7 linked regions of the Danio rerio genome follow. The protein of the gene in region 1 binds, or shares a complex with, the protein of each later gene. Links are inferred from orthologs where the notes say so. Each region holds a gene or a part of one and is shown in the gene's direction. Other genes may lie near its edges.

Evidence for each region.
Region 2: prpf6 (region 1) and lsm3 share a complex: the UniProt entries of both Homo sapiens proteins name them as parts of the U4/U6-U5 tri-snRNP complex. The link is inferred for Danio rerio from reciprocal best matches to the Homo sapiens genes PRPF6 and LSM3.
Region 3: prpf6 (region 1) and snrpd3l share a complex: the UniProt entries of both Homo sapiens proteins name them as parts of the U4/U6-U5 tri-snRNP complex. The link is inferred for Danio rerio from reciprocal best matches to the Homo sapiens genes PRPF6 and SNRPD3.
Region 4: prpf6 (region 1) and lsm6 share a complex: the UniProt entries of both Homo sapiens proteins name them as parts of the U4/U6-U5 tri-snRNP complex. The link is inferred for Danio rerio from reciprocal best matches to the Homo sapiens genes PRPF6 and LSM6.
Region 5: prpf6 (region 1) and smx5 share a complex: the UniProt entries of both Homo sapiens proteins name them as parts of the U4/U6-U5 tri-snRNP complex. The link is inferred for Danio rerio from reciprocal best matches to the Homo sapiens genes PRPF6 and LSM2.
Region 6: prpf6 (region 1) and lsm7 share a complex: the UniProt entries of both Homo sapiens proteins name them as parts of the U4/U6-U5 tri-snRNP complex. The link is inferred for Danio rerio from reciprocal best matches to the Homo sapiens genes PRPF6 and LSM7.
Region 7: prpf6 (region 1) and lsm5 share a complex: the UniProt entries of both Homo sapiens proteins name them as parts of the U4/U6-U5 tri-snRNP complex. The link is inferred for Danio rerio from reciprocal best matches to the Homo sapiens genes PRPF6 and LSM5.

Annotation. Positions count from the first base shown.
Region 1 is NC_133198.1:7,069,010-7,072,723, reverse strand, and holds part of prpf6 (pre-mRNA-processing factor 6), read left to right. Parts: exon of another isoform or gene 1-1,760; intron 1,761-1,960; exon of another isoform or gene 1,961-2,892; coding exon 2,893-3,055; exon of another isoform or gene 3,056-3,156; intron 3,157-3,714. UniProt on the Homo sapiens protein: Involved in pre-mRNA splicing as component of the U4/U6-U5 tri-snRNP complex, one of the building blocks of the spliceosome.
Region 2 is NC_133197.1:33,572,278-33,576,462, reverse strand, and holds the start of lsm3 (U6 snRNA-associated Sm-like protein LSm3), read left to right. Parts: upstream 1-1,228; 5' UTR 1,229-1,291; coding exon 1,292-1,312; intron 1,313-1,505; coding exon 1,506-1,616; intron 1,617-4,185. UniProt on the Homo sapiens protein: Plays a role in pre-mRNA splicing as component of the U4/U6-U5 tri-snRNP complex that is involved in spliceosome assembly, and as component of the precatalytic spliceosome (spliceosome B complex).
Region 3 is NC_133196.1:14,699,880-14,704,345, forward strand, and holds the start of snrpd3l (small nuclear ribonucleoprotein D3 polypeptide, like), read left to right. Parts: upstream 1-1,646; 5' UTR 1,647-1,763; intron 1,764-3,612; 5' UTR 3,613-3,620; coding exon 3,621-3,746; intron 3,747-3,852; coding exon 3,853-4,045; intron 4,046-4,466. UniProt on the Homo sapiens protein: Plays a role in pre-mRNA splicing as a core component of the spliceosomal U1, U2, U4 and U5 small nuclear ribonucleoproteins (snRNPs), the building blocks of the spliceosome.
Region 4 is NC_133176.1:39,344,379-39,348,767, forward strand, and holds the start of lsm6 (U6 snRNA-associated Sm-like protein LSm6), read left to right. Parts: upstream 1-1,576; 5' UTR 1,577-1,670; exon of another isoform or gene 1,671-1,893; coding exon of another isoform or gene 1,894-1,918; intron 1,919-2,018; coding exon of another isoform or gene 2,019-2,023; coding exon 2,024-2,117; intron 2,118-4,389. UniProt on the Homo sapiens protein: Plays a role in pre-mRNA splicing as component of the U4/U6-U5 tri-snRNP complex that is involved in spliceosome assembly, and as component of the precatalytic spliceosome (spliceosome B complex).
Region 5 is NC_133181.1:30,702,505-30,706,798, forward strand, and holds smx5 (smx5), read left to right. Parts: upstream 1-1,405; 5' UTR 1,406-1,481; coding exon 1,482-1,484; intron 1,485-1,900; coding exon 1,901-1,968; intron 1,969-2,080; coding exon 2,081-2,111; intron 2,112-2,203; coding exon 2,204-2,263; intron 2,264-3,125; coding exon 3,126-3,251; 3' UTR 3,252-4,186; downstream 4,187-4,294. UniProt on the Homo sapiens protein: Plays a role in pre-mRNA splicing as component of the U4/U6-U5 tri-snRNP complex that is involved in spliceosome assembly, and as component of the precatalytic spliceosome (spliceosome B complex).
Region 6 is NC_133197.1:10,401,027-10,405,405, forward strand, and holds the start of lsm7 (U6 snRNA-associated Sm-like protein LSm7), read left to right. Parts: upstream 1-1,379; 5' UTR 1,380-1,394; coding exon 1,395-1,400; intron 1,401-1,642; coding exon 1,643-1,733; intron 1,734-1,836; coding exon 1,837-1,908; intron 1,909-4,216; coding exon 4,217-4,359; 3' UTR 4,360-4,379. Other genes in the region: sass6 (spindle assembly abnormal protein 6 homolog), read right to left, coding at 353-457, 577-656, 746-806, 957-1,021. UniProt on the Homo sapiens protein: Plays a role in pre-mRNA splicing as component of the U4/U6-U5 tri-snRNP complex that is involved in spliceosome assembly, and as component of the precatalytic spliceosome (spliceosome B complex).
Region 7 is NC_133187.1:13,906,550-13,910,811, reverse strand, and holds the start of lsm5 (U6 snRNA-associated Sm-like protein LSm5), read left to right. Parts: upstream 1-1,264; 5' UTR 1,265-1,346; coding exon 1,347-1,392; intron 1,393-2,154; coding exon 2,155-2,250; intron 2,251-3,491; coding exon 3,492-3,519; intron 3,520-4,181; coding exon 4,182-4,254; intron 4,255-4,262. UniProt on the Homo sapiens protein: Plays a role in pre-mRNA splicing as component of the U4/U6-U5 tri-snRNP complex that is involved in spliceosome assembly, and as component of the precatalytic spliceosome (spliceosome B complex).

The DNA of each region.
Region 1 (3,714 bases):
GGAAGGCCCCAGGAACAGTTCTTGTGAAGGAAAGATGTGTTTGACCAAGAAAAAATATCTGAAAGGCAAAGGGCGAAGAATGGTTAGAATGGTCACAAACAAACCACAGACCACCTGCAAAGAGCTCCAGGAACAACTTGCTGCTAATAATGTCATTGTAGATAGTTCCACAGTTCAGCGCACTCTTCACAAAGAACAGCTTAATGGAAGGTGATGCAGAGGAAGACTTCTCTGCATTCTGCCAACTAGAAGATTCGTTTGAGGTATGCAAAGGCTCATCTGGACAAGCCTGAATCATTTTAGAAAAATATTCTGTAGACAGATGCCACAACCATAGGCGCTTTGCATGGTGGAAAAAGAACAAAGCATTTCAGGAGAAGAACCTGCTCCCTGCTGTAAAATATGGTGGAGGGTCCATCATTCTGTGGGGAAGTGTGGCAAGCACATGTACTAGAAACCTTGTCAGAATTACAGCAAAGGTTGCATGGATTTTACCCAGTATCAGCAGATTCTGAAGACCAATGTTTAGGAATCAGTCAAGAGGCTGAAGTTACGGCAGGGTTGTATGTTTCAGCAGGACAATGACCCAAAACACAGTTGCAGATCTACCATGGAATTCATGCTCCGACATGATACAATGTTCTGATATGGCCATCCCAGTCCCCAGACTTAAACATTATTGAGAATCTATGGGTTGGTTTGGAAAGGGCAGTTTATGGTTTGCACCCATCAAACCTGACTGAACTGGTGAAATTTTGCAGGGAAGAATGGACCAAAATGCCTTCAGCAAGAGTTCAGGGACTTATCCTTGGCAATAAGAATCAACAACAGGCTTTTATTTCAGCATAAGTTGGCTGTACAAAACATTGAAGTTATTATTCTGTTAGGGTGCCCAATTTTTTGCACCTGTCTGTTTTTGTTATTACATCTGCTGATTAAATAATTAATATGTTATGTTCTGTCAGAAGTGAATTGTTGCTTTTTCCCTAGGGTATAAAATATATCCAAATGAAATTGCTGATTTGGACAGCCAGCAGGCTATGGCTTTTGTTATGAAAATTATCAGGAGTGGAGAAATTTGTACATAAAATTGTAAATTAAAGTCTTGTTACCACTTTACAGACAGTTGTGCTAGCTTTGAAATTTAATAATAGAAAAAAGGCCTGTTTGAGTGTCTTGAGTACATTGGGTACACAAGTGTCTTGGTACATTTGGTTCAGTTAAAACAAACTGGTGTAGTGCTTCTGTTTGTGCAGTTTATTTGAAGGAACTTGAGCTCTGCCAATCATAAGTTGGTGTGCTGCCATGTCTGCCATGTTCCTGGTAGCCTGCATAAACAAAATGCATACATATGAAGAGTTCAGATGCGAACACCTCTAAGTTCTGTCTGAAATATCCATTGAAAATGAGCATTTTTCTCAGACTCTTATGTTTATGTTGAGTTATTTTATTTTAAGGACCTTTAAAAGAGTGTATTCTTTGCCATAAACTTAAATTTACTGAACCTACACACAGGACCCTGATAAAATTGATTATTTTTGAAGGAAATTTCAAATGGCTTTTAGAGGTTTTTGCATCTGAACTCTTCTAATATGGTTTAAATGTATGGTTTCATTTTGAGATGCACAGATTTTTTGCTGCTGAATATTGCAAAAAAAGAGAAAACTGGCCAAATATATGAACCACAAAAAGGTTATTTTGTGCTGCTGCACTGGCCAGTATTGCTGGTTTCACTTTCACTTAAAGCAGGGATGTCCAAACTCGGTCCTGGAGCGCCGGTGTCCTGCTGAGTTTAGCTCCAACTTGCTACAAACCACCTGCCAGGATGTTTCTAGTGTATCTAGTAAGAGCTTGATTAGCTGGTTCATGTGTGTTTAAATAAGGTTGGAGCTAAACTCTTCAGAACACCTGCCCTCCAGGACCGAGTTTGGACACCCCTGACTTAAAGGGATAGTTCAGCCAAAAATCTAAATTTGCTCACTCTCTTTACACTTCCTCAAGTTGTTCTAAACTTTTTAGGGTTGTTAGAAATATCGTTTGATACCAATCTGTATTTTAAATATGATCACTGTTGAGCACGTTCTTAAACATTGCTGATTAGCCACTGTGTTCATGCTCAACAGAAATGACTGTGGTTGGCTGTGGAGCATTTGAAAGCTGTGTCAATCAGCAGATCTGTCTATGTGCTGACATATGAGCAATCTGATGGATCACTAGTGCCTGTGACTCTGTGCTTGCACTTGGTGAACAGCGGTGAAGAGTGATGAACTGATGACCTGTACAGCCAATTATAGCCATTTCTGTTGAGCATCTGAGCACAACGACTAATCAGTGGTTAAGCATGTAAATGTTAACAGGAGATGGAGGTTTTTTAAGTTTCAGGAAAAAACCTTTAGACTTTGACAGCCCTAAAACCTTTCGAAAATAATTTCATGCTTCTGTTGAAGATAAAATTATATATTGTTGAAGAAAGCTGAAAACCATTGACTTCCATAGTAGGAAAAAACAAAATTATGGAAGTCAGTGGTTACAGGCTTCCAACTTTTTTTAATATTCATGTTCAACAGAAAAAAAATAAACTCATAATTGTTTGAAACCAGGAAAGGATTAGTAAATGATGAAAGAAATTACAGATGCATTTGAAAGCTTCACTCTGAGGTTAAACTTTGATCCAATGAATAAACAATGATTCCACAGTGCTATGAACTATATCGTCTGGTCAACTAAAAACCCAACTGGACTGTGACTTGACTAGCATTGCGTACTCTCACATTGTGATATCGATGATAAAATGATACATTGTACGGCCCTGATGAGTGTTTTATATGTGTGCATCAGCTTCACTGTGTGTGGGCATGCGTGTATAACCCGTGTTGTGTTTTGTCTGTTCAGAGTGAGGATGTTTGGCTAGAAGCTGCGCGTCTGCAGCCTGGAGACACAGCGAAAGCAGTAGTTGCCCAAGCAGTGCGACACCTCCCTCAGTCTGTGCGCATCTACATCAGAGCCGCTGAGCTGGAGACGGACATCAGGGCCAAGAAAAGAGTGCTCAGGAAAGGTCAGTCTCTCTCCGTCTCCCTCTCTTTCTTTACTTTCTCAGTCTCTCCCCTCATCAGTTTTCTCTTTCCACTGTCACTGGCTCTTTTTTCAGGTGCATACCTGTATGACAGAGACAGATGACTTGTTAGTTATGTAGGATCTTTTATCAGTCTCAGCATGTTAAACTGTCCTGAATCTCCGCCTTTATAATAAAGGATTTCTAAATAGTCTGGCACTGCTACTTCATCAATGTCTCTCCGATGATTAACTGGTTAACTCTATGTAATAATTTCAAGTAATTAGTACGGTTTTAAAAAATCTTGTTGCTCTGCCATTTTAGTAATGGCTGATTATTCATGAGATGATTTGCATAAATTGTTGGCATGGCAGTGTGGGGTTATATTTCACACACTGTGTGACCATACTGATTTTTGATTACTGATTTTTTGAAGAAGAAGCTGCATGTGTAGCGAGCATTGACTGATATCAATAGCTCTTTTAAGGGAGAAAGAGAGCCTCTGAAAGCATTGAATGTCTTTCTCTGTCCATGTTTTTGGCTCAGAATGTCATGCGAATTCTTTAGAATTTTCCAGGGGCCTCATGTACAAAGACTTGCATTCAATTCTCACAGAACTTGCATGTAAATGTGAAAAAATACCCCACCAAAATCACAAGAAC
Region 2 (4,185 bases), on another chromosome or scaffold:
TCTTGATGCTTTAGGACCCATCCCATGCTTGAATGTCTCAGTAGTCCTTCAGCGTTAGAAGGAATGGTAGGCTATAAAATATTTTCTCAGCTTACACAGTCGATCTACATAACTGAATAGCAACACAGGCACAGGTTACTGCATCTATTTTTTAATATATATATATATATATATATATATATATATATATATATATATATATATATATATATATATATATATATATATATATATATATTTAACTGACTGTCACACATTCTCAGCATTTGCTTTTAGTTGAATTTCAAGTGCAGCAAGCTAAACTTGTTATTTATTTCTTAAAGAAATATTATAATAATTTACTGTCATGTTGTGTGACATGCAAAAGAAAATATTTAGAAAATTTTAATATTCAGAAAGTTTTTGTTTCCAATTTTTATTTGTGCTCTAGACCCAGGCCTTTGCAGAAATGTTAAACTTTTTAAAATTTATAATGGGTTTAAAATTCATTTAAAAAAAATAATCTTAATTTTTTTTCCACTTTTCTCATTTTTTTTCAGTGTGGTCAGTTTGACCTCAAACACCATAAGTTTTTTTTTTCTTTTTTTTTTTTACACATATAAAGCAACCAAATCAAGTCCAGTTGTGACTGTTTTGTTAAAGGTTGGACTGATGTGACCCCAACATTGCCTAATTGATAAAGTTGCAATTTCATATGCAAAATTGCATATAAATAAACACCAAATAGCCTACTCTTGATAACAATGCAATCCAGATGATCAGCCTCACAACTTTCACTATACAACTAAATTGTCTAATTTTCCTTTGCAGGAAATGTGAGATGGGCTTTCCCAGATATGAAAATGCGGAATTTAAAGGAAGCAGGAGGAGATGTGTTTCAAATCTAACAGGGAGGGGGAATAGTACTTCCATACTCACAAACACAAGCTTTTTTCAGGAATGTCTGTGCGATCACTGATCCATCAATGTAGAAAAGGGATGAAAAATTATAATTTTCGTAATTTAAAAAAAATAAATAAATAAATAATTGCACAGTGACATCCGGGAAAACTCCCGATCATAGCCTATGTGTATATCTTTGGCTTTGGATGGTCACAGCTTGCATTCATTTCAAAGGAGCGGTTCCCTGTACTAACATGGTGGATCTATTGACGCATTCCTTCCAATAGACAACAACAGGGTAGGCGACATCTAACGTATATATCTATGTCTAACAGGAAGCAGATGCATTTTCCGTCTAATGATTTGTTCGCGAGAGAAACGGAAAATGCATTCTGGGTAGATTTGAAAGATGGCGGACGACGCTGAGCAGGTTTGCAATTTTTGCTTTGTATAAATATTTCGTTAGCTGTTTGATTATCGCGGAGGTTAATCGTATTAATTGTGTTTATTTTTAACTAGTTGAACACACGGGTAGCCTATGCTAAAGCAGCTTGTAACTACGACGATTGTTTGCATGGACATTTTCATTCAAATAAAATACATCACTGAAATTTACTTTACAGCAACAGACCACCAACACCGTAGAAGAGCCTCTGGATCTGATTCGGCTCAGTCTGGATGAGAGGATCTATGTAAAGATGAGGAATGACAGAGAACTGCGTGGCAGACTGCATGTGAGGGGAATACTACATTACATACTCTAAGTTAGTTATACTGCACGTGAGGGAAATGCCACATAATATACTGCATACGAGGGGAAAATACTACATTAAATACACGTTTCTACTGTACGTTATTGGAAAAAATACAACCTTAAGCATATTATATAACGTTATACTAAACCTGATTCAAAATACTACATTAACCATTATATAATGTTACATAAAGTTAGTTACATTGCACGTGCAAGAAAATACTAAGTTACATTGTGTATATATAAGTTACACTAATTATACTGCACGTGAGGGAACATACTACATTAAACATTATACAGTTATACTGCACGTGAGGGAAAATACTACATTAAACATATTATAGACTCTAGTTAATCTGCATGTGAGGGAAAATGCTGCATTAAACATTATTAAATTGCACTTGAGGTAAAGTACTTTTATAGATATATTGTTAGCCTTCACGTGAGGGAAAATTCTAAATTAAACATTAAATATTATAGTTAGACTGCATGTGCGGGAGAAATACTACTTTAGTATATACTCTAGTTCACTGGTTCCCAACCTTTTTTTGCCTGAGACCCCCTTTTTCCCTGGAAAATATTGTTAGGCCCCCCTCCACATTTAATGATATAATCGCTCATATAAGTTTGCACTAATAATGACAAAAAATATTGTTTCAAACAAAGCAAAGGTAGATCTCCAGGAACAGGATTGGCCACCCCTGCTCTAGTTAGACTGCGCTTGAGAGAAAAAACTAAATTAAACAGATTATACTCTAGTTATCCTGCACCTGAGGCAAACATTAGGCATATTATATTTATCATTATTATATTTATGTTCATTCATTCATTTTCTAGTCGGCTTAGTCCCTTTATTAATCCGGGGTCGCCACAGCGGAATGAACCGCCAACTTATCCAGCAAGTTTTTAGACAGCAGATGCATTTCCAGCCGCAACCCATCTCTGGGAATACTATTTATATATATATATATATATATATATATATATATATATATATATATATATATATATATATATATATATATACTAATTAAACTACAACTGCACATGAGGGAAAATACTTATATAAATATTATATACTCTAGTTATACTGCATGTGAGGGAAAATACTACATTGTAGTTATTATATACTCTATTTATACTGCACATGAGAGAAACTACCACATTGTACATATTATATACTCTAGTTCAGTGGTTCTCAAACTGTGGTACGTGTACCACTAGTGGTACGCAGGCTTCCTTCTAGTGGTACGTGGAGGAATAAAATATGTCATGTACATGCTACACACATTTCAAAATTGATAAAAATGATGTATATAATGTCATATGACATATAGCCTATATTTCTCATGTAATCTGCCACGTTTTTTTAACTGTGCAGAGTTGTAGCTGCTTTACTGGGCCTACAAGGCTATTGTATCTCAATACTGCTCATTTTGGTGGTACTTGGAGAGACAATTTTTTTCTGAGGTGGTACTTGATGAAAAACGTTTGAGAACCACTGCTCTAGTTATTCTGCCCTTGAGGGAAAATACTACATTTTATACAGACTCAAGTTCAATTATGTCTCTAAATGTATTATGTTCTGTTATTAAAGTCACATGAATTTGGTCTGTGGATTTTTTGGAGAAAATAAAGGATAAAAACATGTAAAAGTGAATTGATAAAATCTATTAAAATGTAATAATCAAATGTTTTATCCTAATAATTGACTACACGCATTAGTGTAGTATGTAAAGTGTTTAGTAAAAGAAAGGAAACATACAGAGGATTAAAATAATATTTATATTGTAATTGTATTTAGATCTAAAATACAAGTCTAAACTAATAGTCTACAGCAGTTCTAATGTGTTATTTTAACAGTACGTATGTATATATGAACAGTATATTGAAAAATCTGTTTGATTTTAATAACAAATCACAGAGATAAGGGATCAGAAAAATGTAAATGTTTTGTATTTTACAGAGGTAAATAAACTTATGGATGACCAAAAATGTACTGAATACAACTTCCTTTGTGTGAATTAAACAGCACAACCAAAAAGGATAAATGTTGACATAAATATACTTTTATTATTTTAATATTCATTTCTTTAAATATTTATTTTCTTTTATTTACCATATTTGCATTAACAGGGCTCGAAATTGCGACTATTTTGGTCGCATATGCGCCCGAAATTTTATCTATGCGACCTTAAAATATATTTGGGAGCATTTCTGCGAGAGCTTAAAATTGTTGTGTGCAACCAGTTTGTCTGCTCTTTGTCTGCAAAAATGCAGCGCTCGGGAATGGTTTAAAACAGTTATCATGTCAACTTGTTGCAGTAAACAAATCCAAGTCCGTAATGCTTGCCCTGCCTTTGCGCTCTTCTTATTGGCCCACCACTGCTCTAGCACTGAATGCGAATGATTGGTTAATATCAGCTGTTAATCACTCAGTCGCCTTCTGGCTTCGGACGACAGAGAGGGCTACTACCGCGAAAATTGTAAAGCGCTGAAGATGAGAAAGATAACCCTGACAGATTTTGTTTTAGAAACCATGGCATCTA
Region 3 (4,466 bases), on another chromosome or scaffold:
TAAAGGCTTAACTGGGTTAATTATGTTGGCAGGTTAGGGTAATTAGGCAAGTTATTGTATAACGATGGTTTGTTTTGTAGACTATCCAAAAAATATATATAGCTTAAAGTGGCTAATAATTTTGACCTTAAAATTGTTTTTAAAAAATTTAAAACTGCTTTTATTCTAGCTGAAATAAAGAAAATAAGACTTTCTCCAAAAGATAAAATATTATCAGACATACTTTGAAAATTTCTTTGCTCTGTTAAAAATCATTTGGGAAATATTTAAAAAAGAAAAAAAAATCAAAGGGGGGCTAATAGTTATGACTTCAACAGCATATTTTTGATCCATTTTATATATATTTTTGATCCAAACATCACAACAGCGTTCATTTTTGTTAATTTTTTTACGTTAGCAATTTTAACTTCATGGGGACCTATTATGCAAAAATTCCCTTTATAAGAGGTCTAAACAGTTGTGTGGAACAGTCTGTAAATATAATCACCTTCTAATGGTAAAAATATATTAATTTTAGTCTGCAGAAAAACTTTGATTGACATTCTCTCTTTGTAGTGACAATCTGTCCCTCATTAGCATATTACATTAGTCTTGTTTTTGAATCTGCCACTATGCTGACACACAGGCATTTGTGGCTCCCCTTTTTAAAAAAGGGCTGGGAACACAATATCATTTGAATTTAAAGCGACAGTAACCAAAACGACATCAGAGACTTTTAAAGATTTCACAAACTTTATATCTTGTAAAAAGGGCCATAAAAAGTCCCCTTTAAATCAGTTTGATTGATGTAAGTTGAAATTACTAAAATTAAATTGATTCAACTTAAAAATTTAAAACAGCAACAAATTTTTTACAGTGTATTATGGTAATTACTTATATATTTTTAATGTATGAAATAATGAAATTATGATTTTTGGCTGGGTCAGTTGGCATTTCTGTGTGGAGTTTGCACGTTCTCCACGTGTTGGTGTGGGTTTCCTCTAGGTGAATTGAATAAACTAAATTGGCCGTAGTGTTTGAGTGTGGATGAGTGTGTTTGGGTGTTTCCCAGTACTGGGTTGCAGCTGAAAGGGCATCCCCTGTGTAAAACATATGTACGATAAGTTGGCGTTTTATTCCGCTGTGGTGACCCCTAATGAATAAAGGAACTAACCCGAAGGAAAGTGAATGAATGAATGAATGAATGAATGAATGAATGAATGAATGAATATTGCTATACTAATTTGAAAGATAAAATTGACATTATATTAAATTCAATTGTTTTTAACAATGTGAATAATTCAATAATTGTAATAAAAGTAAAATAAACATCTTATATATTATATCATAGCTGTATATAATACAATATACAATATTTAAAAAAAACTGTTTTAATAGGTTCATTCTATCGATTTTATTTACAGTTCTTCTCATATATTGGATTTCAAAGATAGATTTAACAAACTAATTACAATATGAATATTTAAAATTAAATCAAATTACTTAGATTAACTGTTTATTATGAATGTGACACTAATTTGACTCAGATTTAAAACACTAAATTAAATTATTTTAAGTAAAATGCACAATTCGATGCTGCCCTCTTGTGTGCGAGTCTTGAGATGTTTGCTGCGTAGTTTTAATACGGACTTCACCTCCCAGGATGCAACTGGTTTTCAGGAAAGGGCGGGGCTTTTGCTTTCAGGTGCATTGTGGGAGCGGGAAAACGTCGCACAAGCTCACGTTGTTCCGCTGCTGTGTTTCAACGAATCTGCAGATTCAAGGTACTGTAATGCTTTATGATTATAACCTGATAACTACGTGGGGTATTTTGCGTGGTTCTGTGCTAAAATATACAGTCCTTTTTCGATTATTTAGTAGAGGAACATATATTTCGGTCATTCATTGTTTGCATTCACGCGACTCGTTTGAGAGATCAATCTTGGATATTCATTAATGTCTATCGCTTCATCCTGTTATTGAGTTCAGTAACGTTATAAGTCAGTTTTTACAAGTACCGTAGCCAAATGATTTTATGGTGTTTCATATTCTAGCGTGGATTCTTTCCAGCTAACGTTACATGTTTAGAACATGATTCTTAAACGAATGATTCGTAAGAGTCGGTTCATTTTATTGAATCAAAAGCAAAAAAGGTATAATAAATCGTTCTAACGAGTCGGTTATTTTAAATTACTCAAAAAATATGACATATTATTTTTTTCTATTTAAGAGGTGACTTTGGGAGTTATTTTTTGTTTCATAAAACTAAACCTGGCTCTTATAAATAAAATCCAAGTCAAAGGGTAACCTTTGATATTCACAAAACATATACAGTCAAAAGCTAAAGTTAAATGTGTTATAACTATATATTTGAGTTAAAACTACACTCTGATTTCGACAGTATAAGCAAAAAGGCTGTAATGGTAATATACACTCACTTTTTACACATTCTTCATTAATCAGAAGCAGTCTACTTCAGATTCAGTGACGTTACGAGCTCCTCCCATGCTTACTGATATATATATATATATATATCAAAGACATTAAGGGGATGATACCAGAACAATTTTGAGCATGGTTGTTGGAAGATGTTGTAGTGATGCTATCATTGAGAAACCAAGTAAGACACAGGACAGCTAATGAAGGATCCAAATACAATTTTGATACCCATTATCAATAGGAAAGTAGCTAAGCAGAATCACTCTGCAATATTGCCGAGCAACATTGCTCAAAAATAGGTTTGACTAAAATGTAAGTCTGAGCCGTTTCATCTGAAAGAAACATACACTGAACTGATCTTAATGCATTTCCGTGTGTGTTTTGGTTGGTAAGATGGAAAAAATCCTAAACTTTATTTGATAGATTTAGAGCAGTAAGAGGGTAAAGATGCTAAATAAAAGTTTAGTACACAGGCAACAAATAGTATAGCAGGAATTTGACCTGACAATGTAAAAAATGCAAACAAATAACAAACTCTCCTTAATATGAAGAACTGTAATGTCACATGAGTGCAGCAGTCATCGGATAAACCCAAAGAAAGGGTTTGTGTGCCCGAGACGAGACGCATGCTGTAAATGCTCCACCCTCTTACAAGCAGTAGCTCATTTGCATTAAATAGGACACACAACAACTGTGTTTGGGGGGCATTTACAGCATCAGTCTGTGGAAGAAACTGAGCATTATGTACAGTATTACCTTAAACCCCCAGCCTGTGCACATGTTTAGCCTTTTCATTAAGGTCTCCCGGTGACATAATGATGTGCATGTTGTCGTCAATATTGTGGATGGGATGAGGTTGAATTATCAGCAAATTTTCACTTTGAAAGAACTATCCCTTTTATAACCATTGGTCAGTGTCTGTTGTCTATATATATATATATATATATATATATATATATATATATATATATATATATATATATATATATATATATATATACACATACATACATACATACACCACACACACACACACACACACACACACACACACACATACACACACACACACACACACACACACACACATACACACACACACACATATATATACACACACACACACACACATAGATAGATATATAGATGTATAGATAATATTTTTTTGGTAATTTTGTTTTTTTTGTCCCACAGTTCAAAACATGTCTATTGGCGTACCCATCAAAGTCCTGCATGAAGCAGAGGGTCACATTGTGACCTGTGAGACAAACACAGGTGAAGTGTACAGGGGAAAACTGATCGAAGCAGAGGATAACATGAACTGCCAGGTACTGCTGAACTGAAGAACAGTTTATCCCACTAAAATCGCATTCTTTTAATGTCTGTTGTCTCGAGTCATGCAACTGACTGCGTTTCTGTTGTGCTGCGAATCAGATGTCCAACATTACAGTGACCTATCGAGATGGCAGAGTGTCACAGCTCGAGCAGGTCTACATCCGTGGCAGCAAAATCCGCTTTCTCATTCTGCCTGACATGTTGAAAAACGCCCCCATGTTGAAGAGCATGAAAAACAAAAACCAAGGAGCAGGAGCCGGTAGAGGAAAAGCTGCTATTCTCAAAGCTCAAGGTTAGTTATTTTAAAAAAAGTTACCTTTTTTTTTAAATTCATTACAGTGTTTGCAGTCATATTGTGTAATTTTTGAGCCTTACTTTGCATTGCATTGGCAATGATTGTAAGCTGCGCCAGAGATGCCTTGAGACGGCATATTTTCCATTAAGCTATTGTTTACATTAAAATATTTGTTTACAAAAGATGCAAGAAATGCAATTGCTGTTCAAAATATTATTTACAGGATATACAAGAGCTATTTTATTTAAAAGAGATATGGCTAGTTTTATACTTTTAATATGAAAAGCACAGAAAATAATTTATTTTGTTTTCAAAAGTGCAAGTTATTTATTTTCAGAAAACTGACTGTTGGTTTTAGGTAATGTGTGTTTTAAATTGAGATCTTCAGTGTTGATGATCAATACATAATTATAGATAG
Region 4 (4,389 bases), on another chromosome or scaffold:
GAAGCAGCCTGCGGCAACCGACGGAGCCCCCTCCCCTCGCATCTGACACCCCTCAGCCTGACCCACCCCCAACCCTAGTGAAGCTGCCTCTGTAATCTTTTCATTTTTCCTCCACTCCCTCTCAGGTCTTTGGGGGCTTAGAAAGGTGAGGCGGGTTGTACCAGCAAATCAACTGTGCCACTGTCCATCTGAGCTCACCAGCGTCTTGAAGGCAGGGTGAAAACAGTCCCATCTGGCATCACTGGGCGGTTATTACCAACACGCTACTGTTTTCATAGGAGCTGTGGGGTTATTCACAGGCTTGCGGTGAGAGTGGATTGTCTGTGCTGACTGAGGAAAAGCAAATGCTTTTTTTATTTGTTCCCAGTCAAAATTTTATGCACATTCACATCAGTCTACAAAATGTTAAGTTGAAAACTTTTTGAAGGACAGCACATTAAGGTTAAAATGCCCTCTTTATGTGAGACGGACAGAATCATCTTCTACCAAGCAACAGGCAAAACTGAAAGATAAAAAGCTTGTGAAATGCTTTCTGTGTCTGTAGAGCTCTATTGTGTTTTATTCAGTATCGCTTAACAAGCCAAGCCATTCACGCTTTTCCAGTAGTCAAGAAAGCATCATAGTGCTTGTGTCAGCTTCCTTGTCATGATATTCCATATTTGTTTACAACTGAAAATCCCGGTGCTGTGTGCCACAACCGAAAAATCTGTAAACTCGTTCAATTTCTTTCCTTTTTTTCCTTAAATGAATGATTGCTTTGATAGGAAAATGCATTAGATCACATTTTTCTCTCTTAACCCTCCTTTAGGATGTGAACTCTGGCAACAAGGGGAAAAATACTCATTGAATATTCATTAACTCGTGCCTAGGTGTGTACACGGCTCTTAACCACACTTGTTTATGACTTAAGGACTTGTAGCGCTGACCTTAGTTTAACACAGCACCAGATACCAAATTAACCTCTAGCCTCCTCAGGGCTACCAATGCCCTGCTAACAAGCAAACTGTCTGGATGCGCCAGAAGTGCTTTATGATTCTGTCTCTCAGGTGCATCCCCTCCTCTGCCTGTGAACAAAAGACAGCTTTTTCTTCCCCATCTCCCTCTCTCTCTTTTGGCTATACAGGATCTTCTTTTTTCCTACATGTTTTAGCCACACCTCAACTACAACCTGAAGTTGCTTATTATACACAATGTACACAAAATACTTTGACAAACAGACAGACTATCTATCTATCTATCTATCTATCTATCTATCTATCTATCTATCTATCTATCTATCTGTCTGTCTGTCTGTCTGTCTGTCTGTCTGTCTGTCTGTCTGTCTGTCTGTCTGTCTGTCTGTCAGTCTAGGTTTCTATACGTCTGTTTGTTCGTCCATTTTTATCAGCTCATCTGTCATTCTTCTGTTTGTCTAACGATTTTATGTCCTAATGTAGCAAAAGCGACGATTCCCCGTCTTTACTGCCACCGTCGATCTGGCTCTTTTTTCCACTACGCATTCTTTGTCAAAGGAGATAACGCTATCTTGTCGGCTTCCGTACACTGGCTTTCTAACGAAGCATCTGGTTGGCTGAATGGTGTACACACCATGGAACTAGAATAAGCGGACGAGCTCATTGGTCAGCAGTCGCTCAGTCGAAACGTGCGGTTAACGTTGCTAAACGACATAGGTAAATAACGTTAAATGTTGTATGCTTTAATATAAGAATGCATTCGACGTTAGTGGGGTTTTAAAAAACTGCAGCACTGTAGTTACCTTGCTAGATATACGATGACACGTTTATTAAGTGATACGTTGGGTTGGAATGCTAGCATGCTAAATTAGCCGCTTATCGATAACGTTCACCGGCAATTTCCAAACAAATAAGGTTAAACCTCTTCTGGAAACCCCTTATGTGGTTTAAAATAAACGTCTTTAGTACGTTTTGTTGTTATTGTCACATCCTTTTTGTTAACAATGCAGCCATGGTTCATTTTTATAAGAGCTATTCATAAACTTCATTGTCATTCATTTTCAGCTAAAATGAGTCTCCGAAAGCAGACACCAAGTGATTTCCTGAAGCAGATCATTGGGAGGCCAGTGGTGGTGAAACTGAACTCTGGTGTCGATTACAGAGGTACAAACTGAAATATGCGGTTGTTTTTATGTTTGTATTTTACATTTATCATTTACAAGTTATCGAGGGTATGCATGAAGGGACTGATCATATTTGTTGTGTTGGAGGTAATAAAATAGGATGGTTTGGAAGTCAATCTTGAAGAAAACAACATAATTTCCTTATTGTAATTTATTACAAGTTCACTGCCACATGCAAGTTAAATATGGATAAAGTTGTGTCAGGTAAAGTAAGTTTTATATTCCAGGATTCAACGCTAAAGATTTTTTTTTTACTGGCCCGAAACTTTTCACTGGTCTGACCAAATATAACAAGTTACAGTTTTTCTCAGTGGCTTTGGTGCATTTCTCACAGCACTATTTACATTTGCACAACAGTTAATGCATTTCTCAAAATAATTAGTCATTTGTGCACATCCTATTAGCAGTTTCTCATTCCTTCCAACACATTGCAGATGCTTTTGGACATGCATCAATTACTTTCATACAACTCTCTGATATTTATAACATTATCATCTGCTTATGTCAACTAAACTTGTGAATTCTGAGTAGTCATTCCATATAAAACAAATAGTTTTCATTTCATTACTTGAGTCATTACATACAAAAATGTTGAACTAGTTGTCAAAATCTGTTAAGCAATATTTTATAAAAAAAATTAAATCTTTATTTTCCTGATAATGTCTAAAAAATTGAACAATTTCATGATTGATTTATAGACTTGTGTGTATTTTAGTTTCAGTTCCTATATGTTTTGCAATATTGTGTACAGTTGTGCACAACTCTACCCAAAGGGAGTTTGTTTGTTGTAAATAAGGGTGTATGTATTCTTTTGCACAATGGTGTGAATAAATTAGAATTGCAAAGAGTATATACAGTTAAAATGTGAAACATACATATTCAGTTTGTTGTACTCCGATTCCTCACTAAATGCAGTGATGTCTAACTTTACTGTAGTTTTCAAATGGCTGTGCAAATAGTATGCAGTGTTGTCTTGAGCATTTTCAGGAAGTGTCAACAAAATCTGACTTTTTTTGCATTGAAAAAATGTACAGAGTAAACTGTCATCATGAAAACAGGACAAAGCCATGTGACTATCTTGTTCATAAACAATGGTGTCAGGACTTTTCATTTTGATGATACTGGCACTTTGATTAACATCAATACTTGCTTTTGAGGAATGAACTATCCATTTTGAGCATGTGACGCATTTTTGCAGTTTATCATCTAGGTTTTGCAGTTTAAACTAATTGTTTTGAGAAATGCATTAACTGTTGTGCAGAAATGCACTAGTTTTGTGAGAAACGCACAAAAGCGACTGAGAAAAGCTGTAATAAAAAATATCCTAGCCACATATTTTAAATGTTCTGTCAAAAATAACATCTGCGAATGTAGCATTTAATGCTAATAAATCTAAAATAAGCAAAATTTATAGTGTAATGCAGACAAACAAACAAACAAAAAAATAATAGAAAATGTGCAGGTATTTTATTGCACTTTAAAATTATTTAACAAAATGTGGCTGACTTGCCAAACTTGCGGCAAACTGTGCAGAACATCACATTTTTTTCGTCATGTTGTACCCAAGACATTAGAAACAGACGTTTTCTTTTAGCTTAATAATTTGAAGTTGCCGCCTCTTTGCTGTACTGGTTTTTACCAAGTTTTAGAAAAAAATAACATGCTCACATCATCCAATCACATAAGAGGAAGCGAAAAGCAATATGGTGTTTACAACTTCACTGAGAAGGTAGTATTTAAAGGCTTGAAATAACAGTTTCTTAATTTTAAGACCTGATTAGGCCAGTAACGGTCCTGTTTAATGTCCCTAGCATCTCGCACACTAGCCCCGGGCCATTGGGCAGTCCTTATTGTTGAGCCCTGTATTCACATATTCTCACTTTTTTTCTTAATAATATAATTTTAGAAAAGTATTCTTTGAAAATTCTAAATAGTAAAATCATATCAGCAAATGACTATAAAAGTACAACATTGTTCACAGTCAAATAGATAGTACTATGTTGTTTTCATGTCAAACTTACTTATGATTTCAAATCAAATATTCAAAGTACCGTGGGAAACAATATAGGGAGCGTGTCGCAAGTTGTCGTTAAATAAATGTGCGAATATAAAACCAACTTTACCTCAGTTGCTGTATCCTGCTCTTGATCTAAGGCTTTTAGTCTGAAACCTTCCTTTAGTATTGCCACCATTTTCTTACACTTGGATATTTGTTATCAAACTTTTTGATTTCCATGCATTTTATTGTCTAA
Region 5 (4,294 bases), on another chromosome or scaffold:
CAAAAACCATAAGTTTAAGTATATCAAAATAAACTACAAAATACCTCAGCCACAAAATGTATCAAAATAAAATACAGTATTTTTGTATTTTAAAAAATTCTACAAAATATTTTTAAATAGGAACATGATATTTGTTGGCAAACCTTTCATTAATAAGCCCATTTGATCAGTCCCTTCACCATTAAACTGATTCTTTAATACTCAGTGTAAAAACATGATTTCTGAAACTTTCAAAAAATTATCTTTTTTTGCAAATAAACTTTTCATATATTATATCATGTTCCTTCTGTATAACCTGTCAGAAGTTTTTAATTATTAAATGTGCGTTTCTCATGTTGTCACTTTTACATGTTTAGGCATACAGTACATCTTTCTTTTTCATTAACAGTACAGTGCATCTGCAGATCAACTACTGGCATTTGAAACAGCATCGGAATCGCCACTCATTTATTCATTCATTGTCTTTTCGGCTTAGTCCCTTTTGTAGGACTTATTGTAGGACTTATTGTTATGTTGTTTGTTTCAGTGACAAACATTTAGCATCAAAGTATTTTACAATATTTTAAACTACAAAAATAAAAGACATTAATGTATTTTTAATACAAAACATTAAGCCATTTCCATCAACCCTATCATAAATACTGCCCATCCCTGCTTATATTCATTCTAGGTAATTTTCAGAATGCTTGCTTTTAAAAACAGGAGAATGCATATTAAAGCATAATGTTATAAGAAGGCTCTATATGTTTAGGAACATTTATCTTTAAATTATAGAGAATCCAAAATCCATTTTTATTTTCAGAAATGTTGAAAACTTGTAAGCACTGACATTCATAGTATTTGTTTGTCATACTATTAAAGTCAATGGTTACAGGTTCCCAACGTTCTTCAAAATATGGAAAGATCAAGATGGTTTTAAACAAGTAAATTGATTAAATTGGCTGAATTTACATTTTTTGGATGCACATAAATACATAATCGTGAAAAACATTATAATCATTAGCATGTCGTGGAGGTTTTGTTTTGTTTTACAATATAGCGTTTTGTAAGTGGACTGCTTTTTTGTTTTATAAATGGGGATAACGCAGAGGATTAACCTGAGCCCTGGACTGTGCTTTATTATTATTTGTCTCCATCTGCTGACGAAAGAGGGAATTGCCAGAAAAGAGGAGCCATGTACGTGTATCAGCAAGCTCTGTGTCAGACATGTCATGTACCTCTTCGGGCATAAAGTTGACTGTTTTAAGAAAATATTTCACATCCATTGAACATGCGCCTTTTAATCTCTTTTGTGTGATGAACGATTGCGGAATAATTTACTGAGATGAGTACAAATGACGCAAAAACAGAACAAAACGCCAACAATTTCGCGACCAATGGGATTTTTACGTCTTCATTCTTCTAGCCAATAGAAGCACAGAGTGAAAGACCCGGCAGCTTTTTGATGACGTATGTGATCTAAAGCACAAAGCCGCGTGAAAATGGTAAGTGTTGTTATTTAGCAATATCATACAGTAATTTACGTTTAAGGAATTAATAAACGTGCTACGACCATTTGTTTAACATATTTAGGTTTTTTTGACCACTGTGTTCGCGAGAAAGACAAACAATGCTTCATGCTAACAGCTAACGCTAGCTTTCTTCATAGCCAAATAAAACAACATTCTCAAGCAAGGATTATCCCCTTAATTAAATGCCCAACAGAAACAACTCTGGCTGACTCCTATTATATTAAAGTCTTGGTATTTCATTTGCCTGCGTAATTTAGAAAGCAGTGTTATTTGCTGTTGACATTTCTCATTTGGTCTGTTGATAAAACTTGATTCAATCGTTTTATCGATGTCTTATTTGCTGTCCGCCTCATATTTTGAGAGTAATTCCTTCAAATGTTTATTCTCAGCTCTTCTACTCGTTTTTCAAGTCTTTGGTTGGCAAAGATGTTGTGGTGGAGCTCAAGAATGACTTGAGGTGAGTGCTCACCTTTCTTTTACAAATATTATATATATAATTAGAAATTGAATATACATATTTTATAATGTATGTGCCAGCTCGTAAAACTATGAACACATCTATTTTGCAGCATATGTGGAACATTACATTCAGTTGATCAGGTACGGAAACTGACTCCACACGTTTATTAATATAAACAAATATTGGGCGATTTAGGATTAAGTTAATCTTGTCATTTGTTCTTCCCTCACAGTACCTGAACATCAAACTGACAGATATCAGTGTTACTGATCCAGAGAAATATCCGCACATGGTGAGAAATGGATGAAATGAAAATTACACTCATAATCTTGGGTCTAATATCTTTATCAATGTCATGGAATTTTAAAAGGTTCATTTCAGACATTGAAATTTAGGAAATGTTGATATATTTTTGTCAGATTCATGGAATAACAGGGATTTTTTGTTTGTTACTTTACATTTTAGCTTTTCTTTATTAAAATATATTTGATATTTACAGCCATGCAAACCGCAAGTATTTTTTTTTTATATTAAGTAAATTATCATTTGTTGTTCTCATAGTGGCTATTAAATGAATGTAATAAAATGGCTAAAACCATTTCAATATATTTTTAATTTAATATTACAATTTTTTATAAGCACTACAGAAGCCTGTTATGTTCATGTCATGGTTGATATATTGGTTTATGGTAAAAGTACAGAAATTAATACTATGAAAAATCTGAAAATAGCAAGTGTAGGACCAATTTATTTTAAAGAATATTCAAAATAAAATTTTTTTTTGAATACTAAGTCATCTTTATTTTTTGAAATATGCAATAAAATATTTTCAGATTCTCATATAACATTGCTTTGGTTTTATTGTCAAAAAAACTAACTAGAAAGCAAGTGTAGAATTGCAACAGGATTTTTTTTTGTAAACCAACAATGCTGTGTAGTGAAAACCATTATTTAAAACGGTGAAAATACGGTCAACCATTTGATAGAGCAGGCAGCTAAAGGGTTAAAGAGGGAACCCTGATAATTGAATTGATTCCTAAATTAATGTAGATCAGGTTATTAAGTCTGTGATTTATGAATTGTCATAGTGATGTAGGTGCTCAACAAGGAGAACTTTGGTGTATATAGATGACTCTAATATTGTTTTGTTGTAGTTGTCTGTGAAGAACTGCTTCATTCGTGGATCAGTGGTGCGATACGTTCAGCTTCCTGCAGATGAAGTGGACACACAGCTACTACAGGATGCTGCACGCAAAGAAGCTACACAACAGAAACAATAATGTTTATATTTGAGAATAGTTTGGTTTTGTTCCAATGTTCAGAAGCATCATCTGTGGAGTTTTGTTGATTTAAATGTTTTTCTTACCTAAAACATGTAAAGTTTTTTTTTTCTCTTTCATTTTTACGTCATGTGAAGCCTGTTATTGAGGGTGTGATTTACTGTTTTTTTTTTTTTACTTCACAAGTTAGTGGTTGTGTGCTTTTAATGAGTGTTGGTAAAGTTCTGTACTGCATACCAATGACTTTTAGTTAGGTTCACACATTGATGCAAAAATAAAGTATTTTCCTCTGTTTTCACACTTTCCTTTTGGTGGAAAAAATCGTCCATTGTTGGAGTTCAGCTGACAGCATTTTACAAATTATGTTCGTGGAATGCTGGTGTTTTGGTTTAGGCAGGCATGTCCAAACTCGGTCCTGTAGGGCTGGTGTCCTGCAAAGTTTAGTTCCATACCCAATCAGACACACCAGGGCTAGCTAATCAAGCTCTTACTAAAAACATAATTGCAGATGTGTTGAGGCAGGTTGGAGCTAAAATCTCCAGGACACCGGCCCTCCAAGATTGAGTTTGGACACCCTTGGGTTAAGGTGAATGGATAGTTTAGCAGAGGTGTCAAACTCAATTCCTGGAGTGCTGCAGCCCTGCACAGTTCAGTTCCAAGTGTATTGGAGCAGGGTTGGGTTTCAAAGAAGCCCGAAAGATTTAATTACTTTAATCTGGTTGTGCTTACTTAAACTGAACTAAACAGTGCAGAGCTGCAGCCCCCCCAGGAACTGAATTTGACACCTGTAGTTTACAGCCTAGTCCCAAACAAAAAAGTAAGTTGTTTAGAGTAAAAGAAACTCGTAGTTACTGTTCCTAAAATATACCAGTGCCTTTGTTTTGTGTTTTTTAGGCACTTTTATGCGCTAATAAAGTAATCATGGCTTTATCAAAGCGAATGTAGACCACACTACAAAAATATGTTTAGGTGTTTTAGTTCAAAATAAATTGTCATCTACATTTCTATAAGTCAAATGACAAATATGTTAAGTTAAACTGATT
Region 6 (4,379 bases), on another chromosome or scaffold:
TAAGAAATGCTTAAATGACATTATTTGATTTGAAATTTAGAAGAAAAAAAGAAATGTTTTCAAACATGTACAGACAAATACAAATATAGAGTTTTCAAGGGGTCTCTTTATTTTTTCCCATAGATAGATAGATAGTTAGATAGATATTTATAAAATTTTATATAAGTTTCATTTCAAAAAGTTTATATTTTTGAAATAAACACCAAACAGTATTAATATTTGACTCAGTGAAGAACCAATAAGAAATTTTTGTCCTGAGGTTGACTAAATCATCAGTAATTATTGACTTTAGCCTGTCTATCACTTTAACAACTGCAACATCTGAACATTATTATGAATTATAACCTCTTACCGTGGGTTTTCTTTGTCCTGTTCGCAAATGCACTGTTCAAGTAAGTCTATAAATTTTTGTGGGAATGATGTGAAGTCTATTAAAAGCCCTTGTTGTACTTTTAAGCTGTGAAGAAGAGCAAATAAAAACGATTACACAGAATATAATCACATAGAAGCCTAATAGCAAAGTGTTGAAAATAAATATGGCTCATTGATGAAATGACACTTTTAATACCACAATACCTTTGAAAATCCTCCTCTGATATGATAAGGTTGTATAAAAAGTAAAGATCAGTATCATCAGTCAGCCGTACAACTAAATCCTGTTGATCAAAAATTTAAAAAAAGTTATAAGACCACATAAAACATGCTTAAAGGCATAAATATGGTTGTACACATGTTAATAACAAACCTTTCTGTGAACAGGGCTGGATGGTAACTGCAGTTCAATGCTAACGCGAATAACCGAACGCCTGTAGTAACAAAAACAACATATATAAACACATATAGACCCTTACAGACTTCGAAATGTTAATAATTACAGACAAAATAAAGCCAAAATTCATACCATAAATCAATTTAAGTTAGGCATTGTGTTCAAAAACAAGACAATCAACACAAACCTCTCATCGGTATCTTTACTCTTCACCAGCACCTGCAACCGCTTGTTAAAAAGTAATTCCGTCATTCCTAATTCATTCACAAAGCAACGATAATAATTAAAAATCGTGTAATCCTGTTTTAAAGATGTTATTTAGGTTGTTGAAAGACTCATTTGTTTTTCGCGCTTCACTCCCGCGTTTGTCCGTTTCCAACCGGAAGTGAGAAACACTTCAACCTAATCACGCGTATCATCGTATTTCAACATGTTTTTGTTTTTATAAATCGTATAATATAGATATAAACATTTAAAGCTGTATATACTGTGTAGTTGTGCGTGAATAAAGCTGATAAAATTGAAAACATTTGATATCAGAGTTCACCTGCGCGCGTTGTGATTGGCCGAGAGGTAGACGTCAAACGTGAACCCGGAGTGGGCGGGGCGTAGAGGAGTTTTGAACATGGCGGTGAGTAGCGCAAACGTTTCCACACCGTTCACATTATAAACACTTTTAAGGACAAACGGCGTTATAAACAAACATATAAGCACCTGAATATATCCTACACTCTTGATATTTATGTTGTTACACATTAGGGTGTGCTGGTAATTGTAAATGTGATGTGTGGTGTATTTTTGTGCTAAGCTACGAGTCTGATATTTATTATAGAGGCCTGGAGATTGTTATATAATATGTTTTTGGATCCTCAGGACAAAGACAAGAAAAAGAAGGAGAGTATTTTTGATTTGTCGAAATACATCGACAAACATATACGTGTAAAGTTTCAAGGAGGTCGCGAAGGTGAGGGAGTTGCTTTATGAAATTAATTATGAATTTAAATGTTTCACATTATGATATTTAAATGAATTGTGGTAAATTTGACACTAGTGTTTCCTATTTTCAGCAAGTGGCGTCTTAAAAGGCTTCGACCCGTTGTTGAATCTTGTGTTGGACGGCACCATTGAATACATGCGAGGTAAAATGTGCTAATGTAAACCGAATATGTACCAAATTATGTTCTGCATTAAATTTCTCACAGTATTAATGTTAGTGTGGTTTGTTTTGAACAAATTTTAGTGTAAATGCTGCAATTTAAATTATAAAATTAATCAATTTATTAAATTATAAATTATATAAAGCAACATACAAACTCTTGTGGGTTGACTGATATATAAATGCATCTAAATCAACCCAAAGAGGACATGATGCCATGATATTAAACATAAAAAGGCAGAATGCTCCAGCATAGCTATTTTTGTCAGCATAACAATGTTGCTCCTTACCGTTCAGTTCAGGCATCAGAAACAGTCTCAGCAGATCTTCATTTGGGTGTGTGTGAGCCAGAGGAAATTCTGGTGTTGGTTTGACACATTTAATATGGTTTTCTGAGAGAGTTTAAATGCACTTGAAGTTAAATAGTTCACCCTAAAAAAATGAATACTGTCATTGTTAGGCATGGGCTGGTATAAGATTCTGACGGTTGATAACCTTAGGTTGAAATATCACAGTTACACAATATCATGTTATTGTACATACTGCTCCAAAATATTTTATTTTTAAATGTCTGAGTAAAAAAAAAACTTTTCCCCCATTGAACATGGTTTATATTTTTTAACATTTAAAATATTTTGAAACTATAATGTCAGGCTAAATAATTTATTGTTTATTAATTGTTGAATGTCATTGACTTCTGCTGTCTTAATTAGTTTCAAAAGCACAGATTTCTTTTCAACTTGAAAAGGCATCTTTGGATATCTTTCTTTTCTTTGGATATAAAAAAAATCATCTACACTGTTCAGCTCTACAGCATGCTGGATGTTGGTTTATAAGAGATTTGTTTTTCAGATGTTTCCTGAATCATGGTAACTTGTGATGTGGATGGTCCTTTTCTATTGTTGCCCAAAAAAACTCAATAAAATAGTCGTAAAAAAAAAACTTACAAATACCTTGAGAACGGTATAACAGACAATTTTAACGTTTTTAAAACCTTGACTTTTCAAACCGCGATAAACCTTAAAACAGTTATTGTCCCACGCCTAGTCATTGAATACTCACCCTTTATATGTTTCAAACCTTTTTGAGTTTCTTTCTTCTGTTAAACACAAAAGAAGATATTTTGAAAAATGCTGAAATCTAGTAGTGAAACGGTTAGTTTTCGGATAAACTATAACTAAAAAAAAAACAACAACAGGTAAATAGAAAAACACAGATTGAGAAAGCTGAGACACATATTCCTGAATGTGATAATATGCACCGAAATGTGTCGGGGGACCTGAAAATGTAATGAACCCGACCCTCTGCTTCCTGTTTAGAGGTGGTGGTGTTGTCAAAGAGCTGAGTGTTTTACTTTAACGTCCTAGTTGTATGATTCCCTGGTGTTTGGATAATTTTAGCTTTAAATGCTGACAACACCACTGTCTCTAAAAAGAAAGCTGCCCCAAAGGTCCCCCAAAACATTTCTATGTGCATATTTTGGAAGTTGCATTCACGTTACTAAACTAATGACGATTAATTCTCAGTTTGTAAGTGTTTTTCTATTTGCATGTTTACACTGCATTTGTCCTCTCTAGGGCACCGTATTTAACTGATTAAAAAATGTGTGCATGCACATACAGCAAACAAGTGTATCTAAACATACAGAATTGTTTTGAAAATTTAAAGTCACAGAATCCACCGCGGTGACTGAAGCTCTGCACATGACTTTTGGTCAGCGGAGAAATTAAAATGGTCGTGCCCAACTGAGTCTGGTTCTCTCAAGGTTTTTTTTCTTCACTCCTATCAGGTGAAGTTTTTTTCCCCTCTCCGCTGTCGCCACTGGCTCGCATGGTTCAGGATTGGTAGAGCTACGCATTGATGAATTTGCTCTTCAGTGTTTGAACTCTCAGTAATGATTTTAAATCACACTGAACTGAGCTAAACTGAACTGAACTGAACTTAAACACTAAAATCTGAACTACACTGTTCCGGTTACTATGACCATTAATGTGAAGCTGCTTTGACACAATCTACATTGTAAAAGCGCTATACAAATAAAGCTGAATAAGCTGAATTGAATGTCATAAATGCAGCTGCTTTTCTGTCAAAAATCAGAGTATGAAAGCTTGACAAACTAGGACTATGTATAATTTTTTTGTTTGGTCCAAACAAACTGACTAAACTACAAGTGTTAACACATCCGAAAATACGAAAAAACCCCGCCCTAAGAGTAAAGACATCTGTGTTTGACTATTATCATTATATCAATGGTTTTATATGATTTCTGACCACATTTATTTCCCACACAGATCCTGATGACCAGTATAAACTGACCGAAGACACCAGGCAGCTGGGTCTGGTTGTTTGTCGAGGGACGTCTGTTGTGCTCATCTGTCCACAGGATGGGATGGAAGCTATCCCGAACCCTTTCATCCAGCAGCAGGATGGATAATATTCTCCCTGTGATCCTGT
Region 7 (4,262 bases), on another chromosome or scaffold:
TGGAACAGTTACAGTATTGTCAAGTTTTACAAAAAATGGAAACCTATTGTGGAAGTGTACTGTGTTCTGTGTTTTGGTTTCCGATTTGGTCCGTCATTCCATCAGAGAGGAGATACTGGGAGATGGAAAAATTAATCAAGCTATAATCAAGCTATAAAACTCCAAATTACCGTGACAAATTACTGTGACATACAGTTTGGTAGCCTATATGATGCAACATTTTGACTGACTGACATGCCCTTTAAAAGAAAAAACTTGGGTAACACTGCTCTAATGTTACAGCCACAGGCTGTACAAAAAGCCAAGCCCCTCTCATGCTATCGATGTAAACAAAGTAGTAATCTGTTCAGATTCATCTTCAGCCTTAGTTAGTATAGCAAACTCAAAATCAGATAGAGAGGATTTAATAACAGAAATCTATTTATCTTTATATAGATTAAAGGAAATAGGAGTAGTCGTTTATTTCTGCTGGGTTCCATCACATATTGGGGTATCTGGTAATGAAGTTGCTGACAAATTAGCAAAGGAAGCACTAAATAAGCAAGAGGAAGTAAATGTACCTCTGGGGAAAAGAGAGGCAAAATCGATTTTAAAGGAAAAACTAATAAATAAATGGCAAATTAGATGGGATAATAGTAATACTGGAAGATGGCACTATAGTATTATACAGACAGTAGGGACAACACTAAATCAAGGAAGAAATAGGAAGGAAGAGGTGTGGTTATCAAGATTAAGATTGGGACACACAGGGTTAAATGCAACACTTGCGTTAATGGGTTTACATGAGGATGGGAAATGTGATGTATGTGGTGTAACTGAAAATGTGGATTATGCACTATTTATATGTAGCAAATATAATAAACATCGCAATATGTTATTCAGTCAGTGTGGGGAAGATAAAACAATATATAAAATTATTCTAGGAAAAGGTATAATAGATTGGCAAGTATATAGAGCGTTTATTAGGTATATAGAGTATTCGGATTTAGGTTATTATAGTCTTATATTTATGGATGAGAGTATTCTCAATCATTGTCATAAAGGCCCTTTATGTTAGAGGAGCTGAACACGCAGTGCTGACATGAGTATGTGGTCTAGATGCAAAGATTGGACAATATGAAACATCCAAGGTGTTTTTTTCCCCCCTTTCCCTCCCTCCTCGTTTCTTTTTGTTGCCCTTTCATCGGAGTAAGATTCGGTACAGTAGGTGGCGATAATGCTTTTAATTGTTAGTCGCCATAAAACAGAAAGAAGAAGAAGAAGAAGATGCTATCGATGTGTGCTGATATCGATTATCCATGCTTGTAATTGGCTTCCGGTCCCGATTATTCAGGTCTGTTATCAAAATGGCGGCAATCACAGCAACGAATCCTTCGCAGCTTTTACCACTCGGTTTGTTTCACTTTCTTTAAAATTGCTTATCATTTACTGACATAACTTTTGTGTTTTTGTACGGGGCAGAGATGCCAATCAGTCACGTTCGTAACTCACTTTGCTTTTTTATCTAATTGAATACACCTGTGCACAAAAGATGTGGCCCTAATCATGTCAATGTGTTTTTATTTTAACTTAAATATTTAATTTCACAAATTTATACATCAATGTGTGATTGATTATATATAAACGGAAGCCAGTTCATTTAGTTAGTGTGGGCGAAAAAAATAAATCACTAATATGTTTCCCTCTGTTGGAGTTTAAAATATTGTAATTATGACTTGGGAACACATTTATCATTAACAATTTCCATTAAGATGTATTTATAAGTAAGATACTCTGAAAATAAAATTTTATGTATGAGTTACGACATTAGAGATACCGTGTCAAATGATTAAAAGCCACTCCACTCTTTACTCGCAGGATTTTTTTGTTGTTGAGTCAAATAAGCCTAAAATTAGTACTTTAAAGAATGAATTTGGTATTAACATATTACTCAATCCCACACCTAGTGTTAAAGCCAAAGAAATTTTAAATTTTATTAAACGTGGTTCGTTAAAAACTTACCTTGGCTGTATAGTTGTTGAAGTAACGTTTAACATAAATTGAATTTCTTTACAAGGTTTTACAGTTGTATATCACACTGACCACTCAAAATGTTTCCTTTAACAGCCAATGATGTGACTGTGTTTATGATGGGGATTGTGTGCTGTCTTTCAGAGCTGGTGGATAAGTGCATTGGCTCTCGGATTCACATCGTTATGAAGAACGATAAAGAGATTGTGGGAACTCTGCTTGGGTTTGACGACTTTGTCAGTATCCTTTACCTACTGGCGGTAAAAAAATAAACAAAACACTGTCAAATATTTGTGATGTTTACAATTTAGTTTTGGATTCAACTTTTTTTTTTTTTTTTTTTTTATAAATACTGCTAGCTAAAGATATAGTTACACATAAGATTTCCCTTTATTTCCCTTAGTCCGTTTATTAATCTGGGGTCGCCACAGCGGAATGACTCGCCAACTTATTTAGCATATGTTTTACGCAGCGGTTGCTCTTCCAGGGTGGAAAATGGCATAACGGCAGCAATGGTTACTGAACAACAACGTTGTGGAATCAGTCTGCCTAAAGAATGTTCATTAGCCTGTGCTTTAGTTTTAGCATTTTAATATAAGAAAATGTCCAACAAAAGAACTCTATCATATTTACAGACTCCAAATCATGCCTCCAAGTGATGGAATCTTCAGAAAATGATCATCCTTTGATTAATGATATTATAACTAAAGTTCACCATTTACAAAACCATTTTTTTTCATATTTTTTTTTTTTTTTTTTTGCTGGGTTCCGGGACATGTTGGGCTTTCAGGAAACGAGCGAGCTTGATCCAGCAGCTAAGGATGCTTTGAAATAAGTTGTGAACGAATGCCAAATTCCTCTTTTAGAGATGAAATCTTTTATCAACGTTTACTTTTTAAATAAGTGGCAAGAGGAGTAGGATGCATTGAGAAATAATAAACTGTATGAAATACAACCTGAAATCTCAAACTGAATTTTTAGTCATTTTAAGACTAAATTTGATTTAGTGATTTTTACTAGATGTTGTATTGGACATGCAAGAATGATCCATGCTTTTTTTTTTTGCTCAAATGTGAAGACCCTGCTCAATATTTGCACATCACACTTTCTTTTACAGTAAAACAGATTTTACTGGATTGTCCTGCTTTTAACAATTCCAGAAGGCTTTTTTTTTTTTTTTATCAAATGATGTCTCTTCAGGACATTTTTAGCAAAATGACACCTGGAAAATAGTAAAAAAATTATAAAAAAATGTATTAGCATTTAAAGATGTATTTAATTTATGTATTCATTTGTTTTTGTTTTTTAATTGTATATTTATTATTGAAATGTTCTTGCCATGAAAATAGCCTTGCATTGCTGACATGGCATTAAATAAAAAAATACAATACACTACATCACATGTTGTCAACAGAGAAATGTAAATGTCTATGTAATGTTATCTTTGCGATGTTGTACATTTCCTTGATGCTTTACATCAGACATGGTCCTAGAGGATGTCACAGAATTGTAAGTATATTTCCTAAACAAAAATATTAAATATTTGCTTAATTGTCTTTGCACAGTGTATTCATGCATTCTCTTCTGCTTTGACTTAAAGGATAGTTCCCTCAAAAATTTTAATTGTCAACATTTACTCAACCTTCTATTGTTCTAAATGCTGTTCGAGTTTCAAACGATCAGTATCCTGTCTCCAAAATTTTAGGTGTTTGTTTTATTAGGATAAACTATCAATAAAAAAAGCACTTTCGTTCTAGAGATTAACTAAAGCTCAAGTTTTATACCATTAGACTATTTATACTGTATTCTAATTATTCTATAAACTATACTGCATAGAGAAGGCATTTTCTAATCTTTTTAGAAACTTTTTTTAAAGTATGCTTAGTTAGAAGTTCAATGGTATTAGCAAATTTTTATCACTATTGAAACCGTTTAATATTTTGTGACATTATTATTAAAGAATAATTCCAAGTATTATCATTGATTAAAAAAAAAAAAAAATCAATTGAATGTGAAGTGTACTTGAATGTGAAGTGTACACTCATGTATTCAAGATGCAAGGAAAATTGGATTATGAAGTATTTTCACAAGAATTTATAGATGTAGGTTACATTTTTGAACACTTGGTATTAAATATTTCCTCATCTCGGGCTTGTGTGTTTGTATCACAGTGAAATCACACCAGAGGGAAGAAGAATCACAAAACTGGATCAGATTCTCCTTAATGGCAATAACATCACAATGGTATGACA